2 linked regions of the Lonchura striata genome follow. Each later gene encodes a partner of the first gene's protein in a complex. Links are inferred from orthologs where the notes say so. Each region holds a gene or a part of one and is shown in the gene's direction. Other genes may lie near its edges.

Region 1 (6,970 bases):
GAAACCAGCAACTTCTGCAGAAGTGCTTAATCAAACATGAACTTTGTGTACAACCCATCGACAGAAAATTTGCCTCTCACAAAGTGAACAGCTTGTGAGAGGGAGCGTGCCTTTTTTGGTCACGTTTTGCAAAGGGCTGAAAATATGTGCTTAGTAGGTGTTGTGGCTTTTTCAAGTATTGTGAGCCTTTCTGTGTTTTAAGAGCATTTTTACCAGTGTTTATATACTGCTCCTATCTTCCGTCATATGGAAACCCTCCTCCTTCCAATCCTGTCTTCTCCTGAACACATTGTAATAGTATCAGTCAAGGCTGTCTTAGGTGCATGGCACTTATATCCAAGAATACAACATAATAAACACGAGCTGGGAGAATGGATCAGTTCATTAAATCCAGCCAGGTGATGTGCTCTGATACAGACTGATAACGGATTCAAAAGTGAGCCCGTCTGGAGTGGCTTTGTTCAGACTTGTGTGAAAGATAAAGTACTAAAATAAGAGGAATCCCTTTAACTTGCACTTGCGACAGGCAGCTTCCAGTTTATCACCGAAAAAGATTAACCGTATCTGTTTTGAGATATTAAAACTGTGTAATCAAGTGAATTCTTTTTTTACAATATTGAATTTCTGGCTACAATTCATTTTAGGCAGGAGGTGGCACAGACTAATAGACAGCCAGCATTTCTTTTTAACTGAAAGACCTAGAGAAATTCTCTATATCAGGGCTTTAAATATATGCTCAGTTAAAAGCATTTTATATAGTTTCATAAAAATAATTTATTGTAAGCTCACTGGTTTGTATTTGTGCAAGTTTTTAAAGAAATCCCTTGGGTCTAAGTTACTAGCTTTTAGCTGCATTTGCACAAATATCAGCCAAACTTCCTTGGCCTATTTTTTGTACATTTAGGTGATAGTTATAGGCTAAACCAAACATGTACCTGCCATACATGGGTACAAAGGTTAGAACATGGTGCTGACACCACATTCTTATACTGATGGTAAAGAACAATTAAATATGCACAGTAATACAGTCCTCCTTGCTTTACAAGAACATCTAAACTCTCATGCAAAAAAAAAAATCCAGCTATTTTTGGCACCCAAATCAGGTTGTTTGTCAGCCTAAGCTTTTGGGATTGTTTTTTTAAAGAAAGAAAAAGGGCCTATGAACAAAACAGCCTGTGTTTTCTTCTGGTTTTCTAACATTTACATGTTTATAAAAATCCAAATAAGCATGCACAACACCTCTTCGTTGCAGATAAAAGTGTAAATAAATGCAGCAGGGTGGTTTTCTGCTGAGAAGGGGTTAGGCATACCAGGTTGCTTTTTCTCTTGAGAAAAAGCAAGCAATTTAGAATCTCTGCACATTGTTTTTACACATTGACCCTTCTCCTGGAGCAGAGGTGGCCAAAAACAGCATGCAGAAGGATGACTGTATGCATATGTGTTCAGCTGAAGGACTTTCACTGCACATTTCAAGGTTAGAGAACTTGGATTAACTGCTAAACAGAAGGGGTGAAACAGAATAAAATACAGTTATTTTTCTATGCTAATCTTCTAGCCACTCATTACATCAAGACAATGAATAATTGCTGCTAAAGAACAGTTATGTAGAATATTTTTCCTCAGAAAGAAAAACCAAATAAACTTACTAAAAATTCAGATGTTATTTGTGTGTGTGTGAGGTGAAACTTCTTTCCTGAGTCTTTTCTTTCTACAGAACCTCTATGTATGTACATAAACAAGCAAAATCATTACCATTATTTTTTTATAATGGAAAGGAAAAAAAAGACAAACTAATCATAAAAGACATGATTGAGCATACAAAAAATGAACTTCAACTGACATATTCAAGCTTTAATTTATAGGAGAGTAGAAATACTCTTTCAATCCAGATTCACAATTTATGGTTTTAGAAACTGTAATATTTAAAAAATAATCACTACTACTCTTACAGAAGGGTGGTATACTTAAAAAATGCTCCTGTTTATACACTCTTTACAAAGTGAAAATCCAGAAGGCAACATGAAGGGCCACTGTTACATGATTAAGTGACTTCCACTACCTTCTCTGTGTGAGAAAGAGCAGGCAATCCCTGACAGATGCCTGAAAATCTACCAAGTAAATGTACTGAATCATGGTGGATCGTCAAGTACCTTTCCTAGAGTGTCTTGATACAGAAGGATAAATTGTTCCAAAGCCATAAAGGTGCTAGAAATTCAAAGACAACATCTTCCAATAACAATACACCACCTAGCAATCATTAACACGAATACTGTGTTTAGGCTTTTCAGTAAATTCCTTTATAATGAGTAAAATTACAAAATTAGTAAATTACAAAAAGTAATTAAATTTAAACAATCTAATTTGTAAGTGTCAAAGAAATAACTACTTCAAAGCCTCTACTAGATGGTGAAGTATGAATTTTTCACACCAAATATCTAAAAATAAAATATCTTTTTGGTTATAACCACCTGAAGAACATCTGGAAGCAGTCCAGACTCCAGCATCTTTATAGTTTCAAGATTGTTGAACATGTCTATTGCGTTACTTGAAAGAAAGTTAAGCAATAAACCCCACAATTTTCACTTTAAATTAAGGTTGTGTTTTTTCATGGACAACACGCTAAAATTCTAGAAAATAATTTTGAAATATTGTCTTCAAAAATAAATATGGAACTTTATGGACAAGTGAAAGTTCTTCAAACGTCAGAGCACTTCCTCTTGCAGACAAAGCTAATTCTTCACAAAAAAAATGGGCAGTTCCTGTAAGATTTTCACTATTCATATAAGAAAATCCATAGGGGTAAACTAATTCAGAAAGGAAGCTTATTAGCTATTATGAAAAATGAAATAAATCAACCATGCAATCTGGCTAAAGCTTGAAAGTACTTTTTGAAATTGATCTGGCTTTTGTGCTGGCTTTGGTTTGCTGGCTTCTTTTCCTGAAAGTGACTTTTATTACTTTTAGTAATGGTTGTGATTTTAATTGTGTGACCAGGCCAGTCAGTTTCTAGACTTAGTTTTCACTGTTTACAATCAGCTGATAGGATATTTCACAAACCATCACATAGTGAGTCTGAAAACACAAGTTTCCCTTTCATGCTGCATGGGGCACAGCTAGGTCCCATCCAGTGGAAGAAAGGTATCAGTCCATTGTGGACTTCATAAGGTCAGAGAGTTTGGTCTCTATAAGGACCAAAATGATCTCTCATTCACAAGAAATGAAAGATCATCTCAGCGGTGGAGGGTGATTTTGCCGGATCAGGTTTCAAACAGGTGTTTCAAGCGCCTCCTGTGGGGTACCTGATAGCACGATTGAGATCGTACACTCACAGGTTATATAAAATTCGACAGCGGATTTCATCGTACTCATCTCTTGTTGATATGTGCATAGGAACCTCCAAAAAGCCCTGTCAACACAAGAGACCTATGGAACTTTGTCGAAGCGCCGGTTCGCTCGCTAACAGCACAGGTCTAAGCCGATGCGCGCTGAGGCAGGCGATGCCGCGCGGCCAGGCTGAGACGCCGGGCAGGGCTGAAGGGAAAAGCAGGGCCTGATGCCCCCCGGCCCGCCGGCCACAGCCCCAACTTCGCTGCTCGCCGCTCGGCCGCGCTCGGGCTGGGCCGCGCGGATGCGGCGCCGCCCCGCCCGGCGCCGCCGGAGGGAGATGCTCGCTGTCACTTTCCCTCTTCCCCACGCACCGCCCCCTGCCCTCCCCCGCGCCGCCGCCGGCGCTGCCCCGTCCGCGGCGCCGAGCGCTCCCCGCCGGCAGCGGGCAGGGCAGGGCGGAGCGGAGCGGAGCGGAGCGGAGCGGAGCCGGGCAGGGCAGGGCAGGGCCGGGCCGCCCGCCGCTCCTCGGCATGGCCGGGCGCTGAGCGGCGCCCGCCGCCCCGGCTCGCCTCGCCTCGCCTCGGCTCGGCTCGGCTCAGCACGGCTCTGTCCCGCCGAGAGGCTCGGCGCCCAGCCACCCGCTCTCCTCGCCAATGGTCCAGAGCGACATGTCCAAATCGCCTCCCAGCCCGGCGCAGGAGGTGCAGATGGAGCTGCTGGACAACCCCCTGCCCGCGGCGGCGGCAGCGCAGGTACGGCGGGGCTCGGCCGGGCTGCGGCGGCGCGGGCGGGGGCGCGGGCAGGGCCCGGAGCGGCCCGTCCTTCAACTTCGGGCACCGCCGGCAGAAAAGTTTGACGGCTCCCCTAAGGCGCCCGAAACCCCTGTCTTCGCCCCCACTCTCAAAAGCCGTTTAATTAGCACACATAGGATGCTCTGTGCCATAGAAGCATCGTAAATCAAAAGAACCTTGCGATTATTTGGAGGATGAGTATGTAAGAATACATTGCTTTTAAGCTGATCTTCCGCACGTGTACTGCAGGGTACGGCTATTTTTCCCTGCTCCAGTAACCTGTTGTATTTGTACCTGATGCTTACCACGCACGGCTGAACCTCCCTCGTCTGCTGCACGGGCTGGTGACAGTCTGTAGGTGAGAGAAGGCGATTCACGCCAGTTGTTCAGCAGGAATTTTGGGGAGGCTGAAGGTGTTGAACATGCTGCAGATTTAAGCTGCTCGATTTTCATGCAGAAGGTGGTTGTGCAGTCGTCTCAGAAATTTTAACAACTCAGTTCATTTGCAGTGTTCGGGTGGATGGGTGATGAGAAGGAGGTAGGGTAAGGCTTACTTAGACAAGACTTCATATTTTGAAAGGTTGTTTCTGTTTAATGTATGAATGTTGCTTAGTATCTTCAAGTTTGCAATAGTTGGTTACAAAGACTTCAGAGTGCTGTTTTTGAACCCATAAAAGGGTGGTAAAATCTGATTGTGTCAATTTCAGATTTCAATTATGCATTATCTTCTTAGGACAGAGGTTTTTTCCTTTTTGGGGTGCGGTTTTTACTGTTGCTGCCAAAGCTGTCTCTGATGCTTTGTTTGAGAAGGTGGACCAGCTCCATCCCAGTAGTTCTTGATTGACAGAGAAAAATGCCATCAGTCTGTCAACAGTCGTGGTGATTGATCTTTACATACTCAGGCCTGGTGACAGCAGAACAAAATCCAGGCACTAAGGCAGAGAGGAGGTTAAACTAAAAAAGAGAAAGTGTCTCTTTGGATGTCAGTAGCCTCCAAGCACAGAACAGACATTTCAGGAGGGCCATATGCTTTGCCAGCTTCTCCAGAAACAGTGGCAATGGAGCTAATTTTTGACCTACAAATCCCCCCTTTTTATGTCTGTATAGCCCTAAGCACAGATTCAGCAACTTTCAAATCATACGGTATCTCTCTGCTGTGGACAAATGTCAAATACCAATCATAAAATTGATTTCTCAACCTCCTTTAAGCTAGGGTTGAAAAACCTCTCTTTAGAGAGGAAGAATAGTTTGCTAACACCCACGTTATTTATGTTTCAGGTAATGCATTTATATTCTGTTTTATAAAACAGGTTTCTGAACACTCACAGCCAAAAAGATTCACTTTTTGAGACAGTGATAATGCACCTTTTTAGTTCAGGGATGTTTTTCAGGTTTTGGAATCAAAGTCATCAGGCAGATCAGGAATCATCTTCTCACTATGTACTTGTTTTAGTCATACATAAACCCTTGGTAGAGAGGAAATAAAGTTATGGAAACAAAAGGGCCTTTTGTCTGAATAATACTGCAAGTTAATTTCTTGGCAAGTGCTGCATTTAGAGGCAATTATTTTGATTTGAATTTTTGTTCCATGAACATTTAAAAAACCCCAATATTGTAAAATCTTGCTGCTTTAGAACACACTCACAGTGAGAAGGAGAGGCTTAATGAGGACATGTGAATCATCAAGTAGATTGCCTACAGGTACTTCAGATATGTGTACCACTGTCTTTTTCTCTAAGGTAGTTGAATATCAATCCTAGAAACATTTCTGCCAAATAATCTGTCAGGGGAAAAAAACCCAAACCAGCATGTGAACTTATGGAGTGATGTCACTCCTAAAAGTGTTCACTCTGAAGTGCTTCTTCTGGGAATTATGATTTAAGAAAATATTATTGACAGCCTTTGTAGAGTTGTACCAAGTCACAACAACTCTCTTATCCAAAATTTTACTTTTGCAAAGCTGATATTTCTTTTAATCTATCTTAACATCATGGTCAGTATTTTGGATTGTGCCTGTCCGTCCATTTTGGCCAAACTTGTCACCATGGGGCAGAGGCATGAAATGTAGTTAACACTCTAGAAGTAGTTCACTTAAAAGGCAGTTAAATATGTGAAATATTCCTAGATAACATCTGTGGAAAGTCTATTTCTTATTTTCATAATGCATTTTCCTAACAAGATCTGCAAACAAAAGAAAATCTCTCTGGGTGTTGGTCATGACAGTTATACTGTATTTTTCCAGGGAAGTTCTTTGCAACTGGGACGAAATATTGGTGTTTTTTTCTTGTATTAACTAAAATTCTATGGCTTTTAGGTCCATATGATTGTAAAAACATAGTTCTAGTTCTAGTTCAGTGTGATCTTAGTCCCAGTTGTATCTTGGTCTTAGATGGATTTGCAGTAGAGTTTCAGATGTCCAGTTTTATCCAGACAAATCTGCATGCTGACCAGTTACACTGTGGACTTATTCACAATGTCTAGATATATGTCAGTACAAACTGGTGGTTTTAGGTGTGGCCCTTTTGTAATGAAATCAGCATTAGGTTTTCTGAAAGAAAAGAAGCAAACTCTTCAAATGTACCAGTGTTTGGTGATCAGTTTTTTGGTGTATTTTTTTTAAATCAACCACAGTCTTCTCTTTAGTTCCTTATTTAAAGAACCCCTATTTTCAGGAATCTGAATTAGTAGAATATTAATTTTAATAATTTTAATTAACCCAGGTACTACTATGATTTGTTTATAATATACCATAACACATTAATGCCTTTCATGGTAACTCTTAGCCTCTCTTTTCTCTTGCTCCCATGTAATTTTCTTATGATCCTTCTTCAAAGTCCCTCAGTCCTCAAAAA
Region 2 (8,099 bases), on another chromosome or scaffold:
CTGTGTCTGTCCCCAGGGGTGTCCCCGTCAGGCCCTGGTGTGGTGGTGATGCAGCTGAATGTCCCCAACGGCCCCCAGGCCCCCCAAAACCCCCCCGTGGTGCAGTGGAGCCACTGTAAGTACTACAGCCTGGAGCAGCGGGGGCAGAAGCCAGGAGACCTCTACAACCCCGACACCAGTGCTCAGGTACTGGGAGGACTGGGAGGGACCGGGAGGAGGCAGCTCAGCCTTGGGGGTGATGGCTGGGGGGTCACCCCGCGGGGTCAGGGTGGGCATGGGAGCGGTCACAAGCATTTGGGGTGTCTGACACTGTCCCTCCCCCAGGCCAGCACCCAGCTGAACAGCCCCATCACGTCCCCCACCCAGTCCCCGACGCCGTCGCCCGTCACCAACCTCAACAGTGTGTGCACGGGGCTGAGCCCCCTCCCCGTCCTCACGCAGTTCCCCCGGCCCATGGGCCCGGCACAAGGTAAGGGGAAGAAGGCCTGAGGGCACAGCCCAGGGCTGGGAATGCCGTGATGTTTCCTGGGATCCCCACAAACTCAGCTTCCCTGTGCAGGCGATGGGAGGTACTCACTGCTGGGCCAACCTCTGCAGTACAACCTGTCCCTGTGTCCCCCGCCGCTGCTCCACAACCAGCCCAGCTACACAGGACACCAGGTAAAGTATGGCCAGACCTCCCTTCCCCAGCCCCTGTGTGGGCACCGTGAAGCCACAGTGTCCCCTGAGGTGACACGGTGCCCTTCTTCTCCTCCAAGGGGCAGACTGGAATGAAACACGGCAACCGGAGCAAGAGACAGGCCCTGAAGTCAGCGTCCACCGACCTGGGGACAAGTGACGTAGGCAAGTGTCCCCCTCGAGCCTCTTTGCCCTCTGATGTCCCCACAAATGGATGTTGGAGACTCCAGGTGCCGTCCCTGTCCACGCCAGCATCCTGCAGAACCCTGTGCTGGTTTTGGAGAGTGGTTCCTGCCTGTCCCTTCTCCCCACACCCACAAACACCTCCCAGCCCGGGTGAGTCCAGGCTGGGGGTGCAGCAGATCCAGCCCCAGGCCGCTGTGCCCTGAGGGAGGTGGGTGAACAGGGAGTAAAATCCCTGAGGAAGACACCTGGGAGCTATTCCTGCCTCTCAGAGGCTGGAAATGATGGCGCTGGCAGAGCTGAGATTTTATTCCTCCTCAGCAGAAAGTGAGTGTCCAGACTCTGAGATCTCATTCCCACCACTGCTTTCCCAAGTCCCTCTTCCCACCCATGCTTCCCTTTCCCATGGGGCCTGCAGCTTCAGAGCCTCATCTCTGAGATTTGGGCTCTCCCAGGCTGGCTGCGAGGGCTGAGGGTTCTGGTGAATCCTTCCCACCCATGTCCAGAGTTGTCTCCACCGGGTCCTTGGGAAGGGAGGGACGCCCAGCTTGGATGGAGCAGCCCTCGGTGACCCTCTGGGGACCTCAGGCTTGTCCCCAGTGTCACCTCGGTGCCACCAGCAGCAGCTGCTTGCAGGGGCTCTTTAAGAACTGCCTGCCCCCTCCTGCCCCTGGCATGGTCCCTACGTGCCACGTTAATATTAGCAAAGAATCCCTGCAGCAGCTCTGCTAAGCCCAGAGCCAGGGCTGCAGCCAGGAGCTGCGCAGGGGTTTGGGCACCACAGGGCAGGGAGAGGGAACTGCAGGGATTTAGGCACCACAGGGCAGGGGCTGGAGCTGCAGAGGGATTTGGGAACCACAGAGCAGGGATAGGGAGGAACCAGGGGCTGCAGAGGGATTTGGGCACCACAGGGCAGGGATAGGAGAGAGCTGGGATCTGTACAGGGATCTGGGAACCACAGGGCAGGGGCTGGAGCTGCACAGGGATTTGGGAGCCACAGGGCAGGGATAGGGAGGAACCAGGGGCTGCAGAGGGATTTGGGCACCACAGGACAGGGGTCAGGAACTGCTGAGGGGTTTGGACACCACAGGGCAGGGATAGGAGAGAGCCGGGAGCTGCACAGGGATTTGGGAGCCACAGGGCAGGGAGAGGGAACTGCACAGGGATTTGGGCACCACAGGGCAGGGATAGGGGAGAGCCAAGAGCTGCAGAAGAGGGATTTGGGCACCACAGGATGGGGTCAGGAACTGCTGAGGGGTTTGGGCACCACATGGCAGGGATAGGAGAGAGCCAGGAGCTGAGAGGGATTTGGGAACCACAGGGCAGGGTCTGGAGCTTCAGAGGGGTTTGGGGACCACCAGGCAGGACACACCCAGTGCCACCATCCTCTGTGGGTGCAGCCATTCTCCCTCCCAGAGTCAGAGTTGGGAGCTCCCAACTCTGGGATGGGCCACTGGGGTTGGCTCCCAGTCCTGGGGTCTGAGGTTTGGGGTAGGAAAACCAGGCAGAGCCCCTGGGAGAGCCTGAGGTGCCCAGCTGTCCCAAGGGTGCCAGGGGGGCTTGGTGTCCCTGCAGCTGGGGGACACTGGGGGACACCCACACCTCCCCTGCAGCAAAGCCAGCACGGTGGGCACGGGGATTGGGCTGGGGCACTGCGGGCAGGGGGGCTCTGGGGGGCTTCAAAAGCAGATCCTGCTCTGGGGGCAGCTGGGCACTGCACGGTGTCCCGGACCCAGGAGAGGCCAGGAGGGTGCTGGGGACAGCGGGACCTGGCCGGTGACACCGGGACCTGGCTGGGGACAGCGGGACCTGGCCGGTGACACCGGGACCTGGCCGGTGACATCAGGGCCTGGCCAGTGACACTGGGACCTGGCTGGTGACACCAGGGCCTGGCCATTGACACCGGGACCTGGCCGGTGACACCGGGACCTGGCTGGGGACATTGGGACCTGGCCGGTGACACGCAGCTCCTTCCCTGCAGTGCTGGGCCGGGTGCTGGAGGTGACGGACCTGCCCGAGGGCATCACACGGACAGAGGCCGACAAGCTCTTCACGCAGCTCGCCATGGCCGGTGCCAAAATCCAGTGGCTCAAAGAGACTCAGGGGCGGCGCGGGGACGGCGGCGGCGGGGACAACAGTGGGACTCCGGAGAACGGCAGGCACAGTGACCTCGCTGCCTTATACACCATCGTGGCCGTGTTCCCCAGCCCGCTGGCTGCCCAAAACGCCTCCCTGCGCCTCAACAACTCCCTCAGCCGCTTCAAACTGCGCGTGGCCAAAAAGAACTACGACCTGCGGGTGCTGGAGCGGGCCAGCTCCCAGTAGGGCTCCCGTGGGCACCGGGCACTCCCCTGGGCCTCTTCTCCTCCCGCCCTCCCTTCCTCTCGCCCTCCTTCCTTGATATATTTATATGAACATAATTAAGAGACAAGAAGTTGATTTTTTTTTTTTTTAATTATTATTTTTTGGAGTGACGCCCGTGCCCGCCCCCCTCCCCTGTGTCTATGGTTTTGTTTAAGCACTGTGTTGGACCGCACATACAGGTGTTGATTGGTATGTTCACTGCACATTTTATTTAATCGGATTATTATTTTGTGGGGTGGGGGGGGGGTGGGGAGAAATTTTTTTGTTTTATTTTATTTGGGGGGGTTGTTTTTAAATAAAAAAAGAAAAAAAGGAAAATTGTCCATCACTTGAATGTAACTTCCCATTCTCTGCCAGTGCCAGGGTTGGGGACTCTGTGCTGCCTCAGCGGGGTGAGGGGACAGCTGAACTGGCAGGGGGATGATCCTGCCCAGTCCTGCCCGAGCTTGGCGTGTCCGAGGGCTGCAAGCCCCTGGTGTGCCAAAATGGGGATCCCAGGCTGGGATCAGAGCGTTTGGACTGGGGCTGGACTCCCCTGCCAGATGTTCATGGCCTCTCCATCCAGCTGTGGAATTCCAGGGCAGGAACGAGGGCATGGCGTGGCCCCAGCTGTGTGTCCTGCCAGGAAACATCACATTCCTGCGGACAGGAGCAGCACCTGGAGCTGCCAGGTGCAGGTGGGGGCAGGATTTGGGGTGGCACAGCCAGAGCCTCTGGCAGTAGCAGGATGCTCCCAACCTTCCTGGGCAGGTGAGAGCTGCCAGGAAAAGGGGGGGCTCCAAGCCCAGGCTGGTTCCAGCTCCCACCTCGCTGCCACCCACAGCCAGGCAGGGACCTCAGGGTGCCCATTAACTTCAGGGTGGGATCCCAGCTCCTGCCATCCCAGCGGAGCCTGGACCAGCAGGATTTGGTGCCAGGGGGTGTGAAGCAGCCACTCCACCCCGTGCCAGACCCCACTGCTGCCCCTCTGCCGCTGAACCCGCAGCAGCTTCCAATGCACGAGGGAAGGAGATGCTGAAGCTGGAGCCCTCGGTGTGCCCAGCTCCCGGAGCCCTGGCTGTGCCCAGCTCCCCGAGCCCTCGGTGTGCCCAGCTCCCGGAGCCCTGGCTGTGCCCAGTTCCCGGAGCCCTCGGCGTGCCCAGCTCCCGGAGCCCTCGGCGTGCCCAACTCCCGGAGCCCTCGGTGTGCCCAACTCCCGGAGCCCTCGGTGTGCCCAGCTCCCGGAGCCCTCAGTGTGCCCAGCTCCCCGAGCCCTCGGTGTGCCCAGCTCCCGGAGCCCTCGGTGTGCCCAGCTCCCCGAGCCCTCGGTGTGCCCAGCTCCCGGAGCCCTGGCTGTGCCCAGCTCCCGGAGCCCTGGCTGTGCCCAGCTCCCGGAGCCCTCGGTGTGCCCAACTCCCAGAGCCCTCGGTGTGCCCAGCTCCCGGAGCCCTCGGTGTGCCCAGCTCCCCGAGCCCTCGGTGTGCCCAGCTCCCGGAGCCCTCGGTGTGCCCAACTCCCGGAGCCCTCGGTGTGCCCAGCTCCCGGAGCCCTCGGTGTGCCCAACTCCCAGAGCCCTCGGTGTGCCCAGCTCCCGGAGCCCTGGCTGTGCCCAGCTCCCGGAGCCCTGGCTGTGCCCAGCTCCCCGAGCCCTGGCTGTGCCCGCTTCCTTCTTTGTCCCAGGCCAGGCTGGGGGGGCCCCTGGCACGCCCAGCAACCCACCAACGCAAATAGCCGGTGGCTCCTCCGCCTGCTCCCGCCGGGGCTCCAATTTCCCGGCGTCAGCCCCGCCACCGCTCAGCTGTCGTCCCCCTCTGCCCTGTCACTCCGCTCGGCCCGGGACCGGCGCGGCTGCCGCCCGCCACCGAGGCCCGGGGGCTCTGCGGCCAACGCGGCTCCGGCACCGGCCGCCCTTCGGGGGCTCCTTCAGCGCAGGGCGAGACCGCCAAGCGCAGGGTAAGTGCCCCCTGTGCCCGCTCTTGCCGTGGCCGTGCCCGCCCGGAGCTCCCCCGCTGCTGCGGGGCCTCGGGGTGCCCCATTCCCGCAGCGCCCCTCGCCCCGGCGCTCCCCGTGCCCCTTTGTTGCTTCCTGATGGTTTTCCTGGCTGCTTTCCACGGGGGGCTGGAGGGGCTTGAGGGGTGGGCATCGCCAAAAAGAGGGAGGTCTGGGTGGAAGCACTGCGGAGAGGCTGTCGGAGGTGGCACCGGGATGGTTTGGGGGATGCAGGAGCAGGTCCTGCCCCGGTGGCAGCCGAAAGCCGTCAGTGCCCGTCGGTGCCCCCCGTGTGCTCGTCTGAGGGGCCGAGTTTGTGGTTTCACGGTGAGATGGAGATGTCCGGGCTGAGGTGGGCACCTGCAGGTAGCCCAGGGGCTGGCTCACAGCACTTGGCACCACGTCCCTGAGCCAGCGGATGTGCCACGCTCTGGGCCGGGCACCGGCCTGGCCCTGGGGCTCACCGAGGCAGAACCAGAACGGGGCAGGGCTGGGATGGGCGCTGGGAGTGACCCTCGCTGAGACAGGGGCTGCAGGACGGGCAGGGGAAGGGGTGGCACTGCCCACCCAGCAAGGTCTGACCATCCCCTGCCAGGCTCCTGCAGCTGGAACTGCCCCAGCCAACTCCAGCTCTGCTCTTCCCCTTGCAGCATGACGGAGAAGGAAGTGCCAGAGCCACCAGCTTCACCTGCTTCAGGTGGGAAACCCAAGAGCCGGGTAAGTGGGTGCCCACAGGGCAGTTTGGGTGGGCGGGGGAAGCCCCCTCTCTATCATCATCATCATCATCCTGCCGCAGCCCAGGAGGCTGTGGGAGGCCTGGGGTGCCCGCTGGGACCCTGATCCAGCCGGGTGTTGGGTGGGCATTTCCCAGCTTGGCATTTCCCTGTGGCGCACCCACATCCGTGAGGGGCTCAGGAACCGCAGCTTCCTCTTCTGTGGAGACTTCACGGGGCTGGGAGGAGGCTCCCCATCTCCAGAGCATTCCTGGAGTCTCCTCCCGCTCGTGGAGGGGGTCCCCGGGGCGAGGAGCTGGGTGTGTGCCCTCCTGCCTCCCCCACGCTGCCACACACCGTCCGTCCCCTCCCGCCCCAGCAGCTGCAGAAGCTGAAGCAACTTTTCCAGCGAAAACCCAAGGAGGAGCCGGCGCCGGAGCCACAGCCCAACGGGGAGCTGGTCAGCCCCTCGGGGGGACCCATCTACTACATCTATGAGGATGAGGAAGAGGAGGAGGAGGAGGAGGAGCCCGAGCCCCCTCCCGAACCCGAGAAACTTGTTAATGACAAACCCCACAAGTTCAAAGACCATTACTTCAAAAAGCCCAAATTCTGTGATGTTTGTGCCCGCATGATCGTCCGTGAGTCCTGAGGGGGCTGGGGGGCACGGGCAGGGCTGGGGCTGGGGGCTACAGGCAAGTCTGGGGTCACGGGCGGGGCTGGGGGTCACGGGCAGGGCTGGGGGGCACGGGCAGGGCTGGGGGCTACAGACAGGGCTGGGGCTGGGGGGCACGGGCAGGGCTGGGGGCCACGGGCGGGGCTGGGGGCTGGGGGCAGGGCTGGGGGCTACAGACAGGGCTGGGGCTGGGGGGCACGGGCAGGGCTGGGGGCCACGGGCAGGGCTGGGGCTGGGGGGCACGGGCAGGGCTGGGGGCCACGGGCAGGGCTGGGGGGCACGGGCAGGGCTGGGGGCAGGGCTGGGGGGCACGGGTAGGTCTGGGGGGCACGGGCAGGGCTGGGGCTGGGGGCCACGGGCAGGGCTGAGGGCAGGGCTGGGGCTGGGGGCCACGGGCAGGGCTGGGGGCTGGGGGCAGGGCTGGGGCTGGGGGCCAAGGCCGCGCAGGGCTCCGTCGCGGCCGTTTCACAGCTGCAGTGTCACATTCCCTCTCCTTTCCACCCCCCCCGCCCACTGCCAGTCAACAACAAATTTGGCCTGAGGTGCAAGAACTGCAAAACCAACATCCACCACCACTGCCAGTCCTACGTGGAGATGCAGCGCTGCTTCGGCAAGATCGTGAGTGTCCCCCCCCGGGAGCGGCCAGGACGCGGGTGCCACCACCCCTGTCACTCCCTGGCTCTGAGGGGGACCCCGGCATCTCCCTCCGGGGTACCCCGGGCTCTGAGAGGTGGGGCCGGGGGGTGGCTGATGCTCCGACCCCTCCTCGGTCCTCGCAGCCGCCCGGGTTCCGGCGGGCGTACAGCTCCCCCCTCTACAGCGACCAGCAGTACGCCGGCACCAAGGAGCAGCTCGGTGAGACCCCCGTGCTGGGCTGCCCCGTCCCCTTGGCACCCAGCCTGGGCTGCCCCAACCTGTCCCCCCCTGACCCTTCTCCTGCCCCCGCAGCGAACAGGAGCGACCCCGTGTTCGAGACGCTGCGGACGGGCGTCATCATGGCCAACAAGGAGCGCAAGAAGGGGCAGGAGGACAAGAAGAACGTGAGTGTGGGTCGGGCTCTCACCGGATTCCTGCCGGTGCGCCCCACGAACCCTCCAGCCCCCCCCCAAATTCTGCACCTTCTGAGAGCTCTCTCTGCCTTCCAGCCCTTGGCTGCGATGATGGACGAGGAGCCAGAGGCCACGAAGCCGGTGGGGAGCAAAGCTGAGGGTGGTGAGCGCGGGGCCGAGGGTTGGGGGGCTGAGCCCACGCGGACACGGAGGGAGCCCCTGGCTGTGTTTTGAGGGGGGTTGCCCTGCGGAAAGAGGGTCCTCCATTCATGTCCTCACCCTGGGGCTCTCGCTGCATCCCCACTTTGGCCGAGGAGACCCCCGGGAGGCACCGCCAGGAGAGGCGTGACCCCTCCTCCTGTTCCCAGGTGCCTCTGAAGGGGACAAGAAGGCTGAGAAGGGCACAACAGATGACAAGGTACCCCTCACATCCTCGCCCTGCACCCCAAAGCCTTGAGCAGAGCTCGT

What was found. Proteins that work in one complex are often made in the same cells at the same time.
Region 2: CACNB2 (region 1) and STAC3 share a complex: the UniProt entries of both Homo sapiens proteins name them as parts of the calcium channel complex. The link is inferred for Lonchura striata from reciprocal best matches to the Homo sapiens genes CACNB2 and STAC3.

Annotation. Positions count from the first base shown.
Region 1 is NC_134603.1:137,020,250-137,027,219, forward strand, and holds the start of CACNB2 (voltage-dependent L-type calcium channel subunit beta-2), read left to right. Parts: upstream 1-3,887; 5' UTR 3,888-3,980; coding exon 3,981-4,079; intron 4,080-6,970. UniProt on the Homo sapiens protein: Beta subunit of voltage-dependent calcium channels which contributes to the function of the calcium channel by increasing peak calcium current. Plays a role in shifting voltage dependencies of activation and inactivation of the channel.
Region 2 is NC_134629.1:5,901,584-5,909,682, reverse strand, and holds the start of STAC3 (SH3 and cysteine-rich domain-containing protein 3), read left to right. Parts: upstream 1-5,017; 5' UTR 5,018-5,157; intron 5,158-5,843; 5' UTR 5,844-5,844; coding exon 5,845-5,910; intron 5,911-6,285; coding exon 6,286-6,547; intron 6,548-7,102; coding exon 7,103-7,200; intron 7,201-7,361; coding exon 7,362-7,437; intron 7,438-7,530; coding exon 7,531-7,622; intron 7,623-7,727; coding exon 7,728-7,794; intron 7,795-7,999; coding exon 8,000-8,049; intron 8,050-8,099. Other genes in the region: R3HDM2 (R3H domain-containing protein 2), read left to right, coding at 17-186, 325-469, 560-660, 759-843, 2,843-3,186. UniProt on the Homo sapiens protein: Required for normal excitation-contraction coupling in skeletal muscle and for normal muscle contraction in response to membrane depolarization. Required for normal Ca(2+) release from the sarcplasmic reticulum, which ultimately leads to muscle contraction.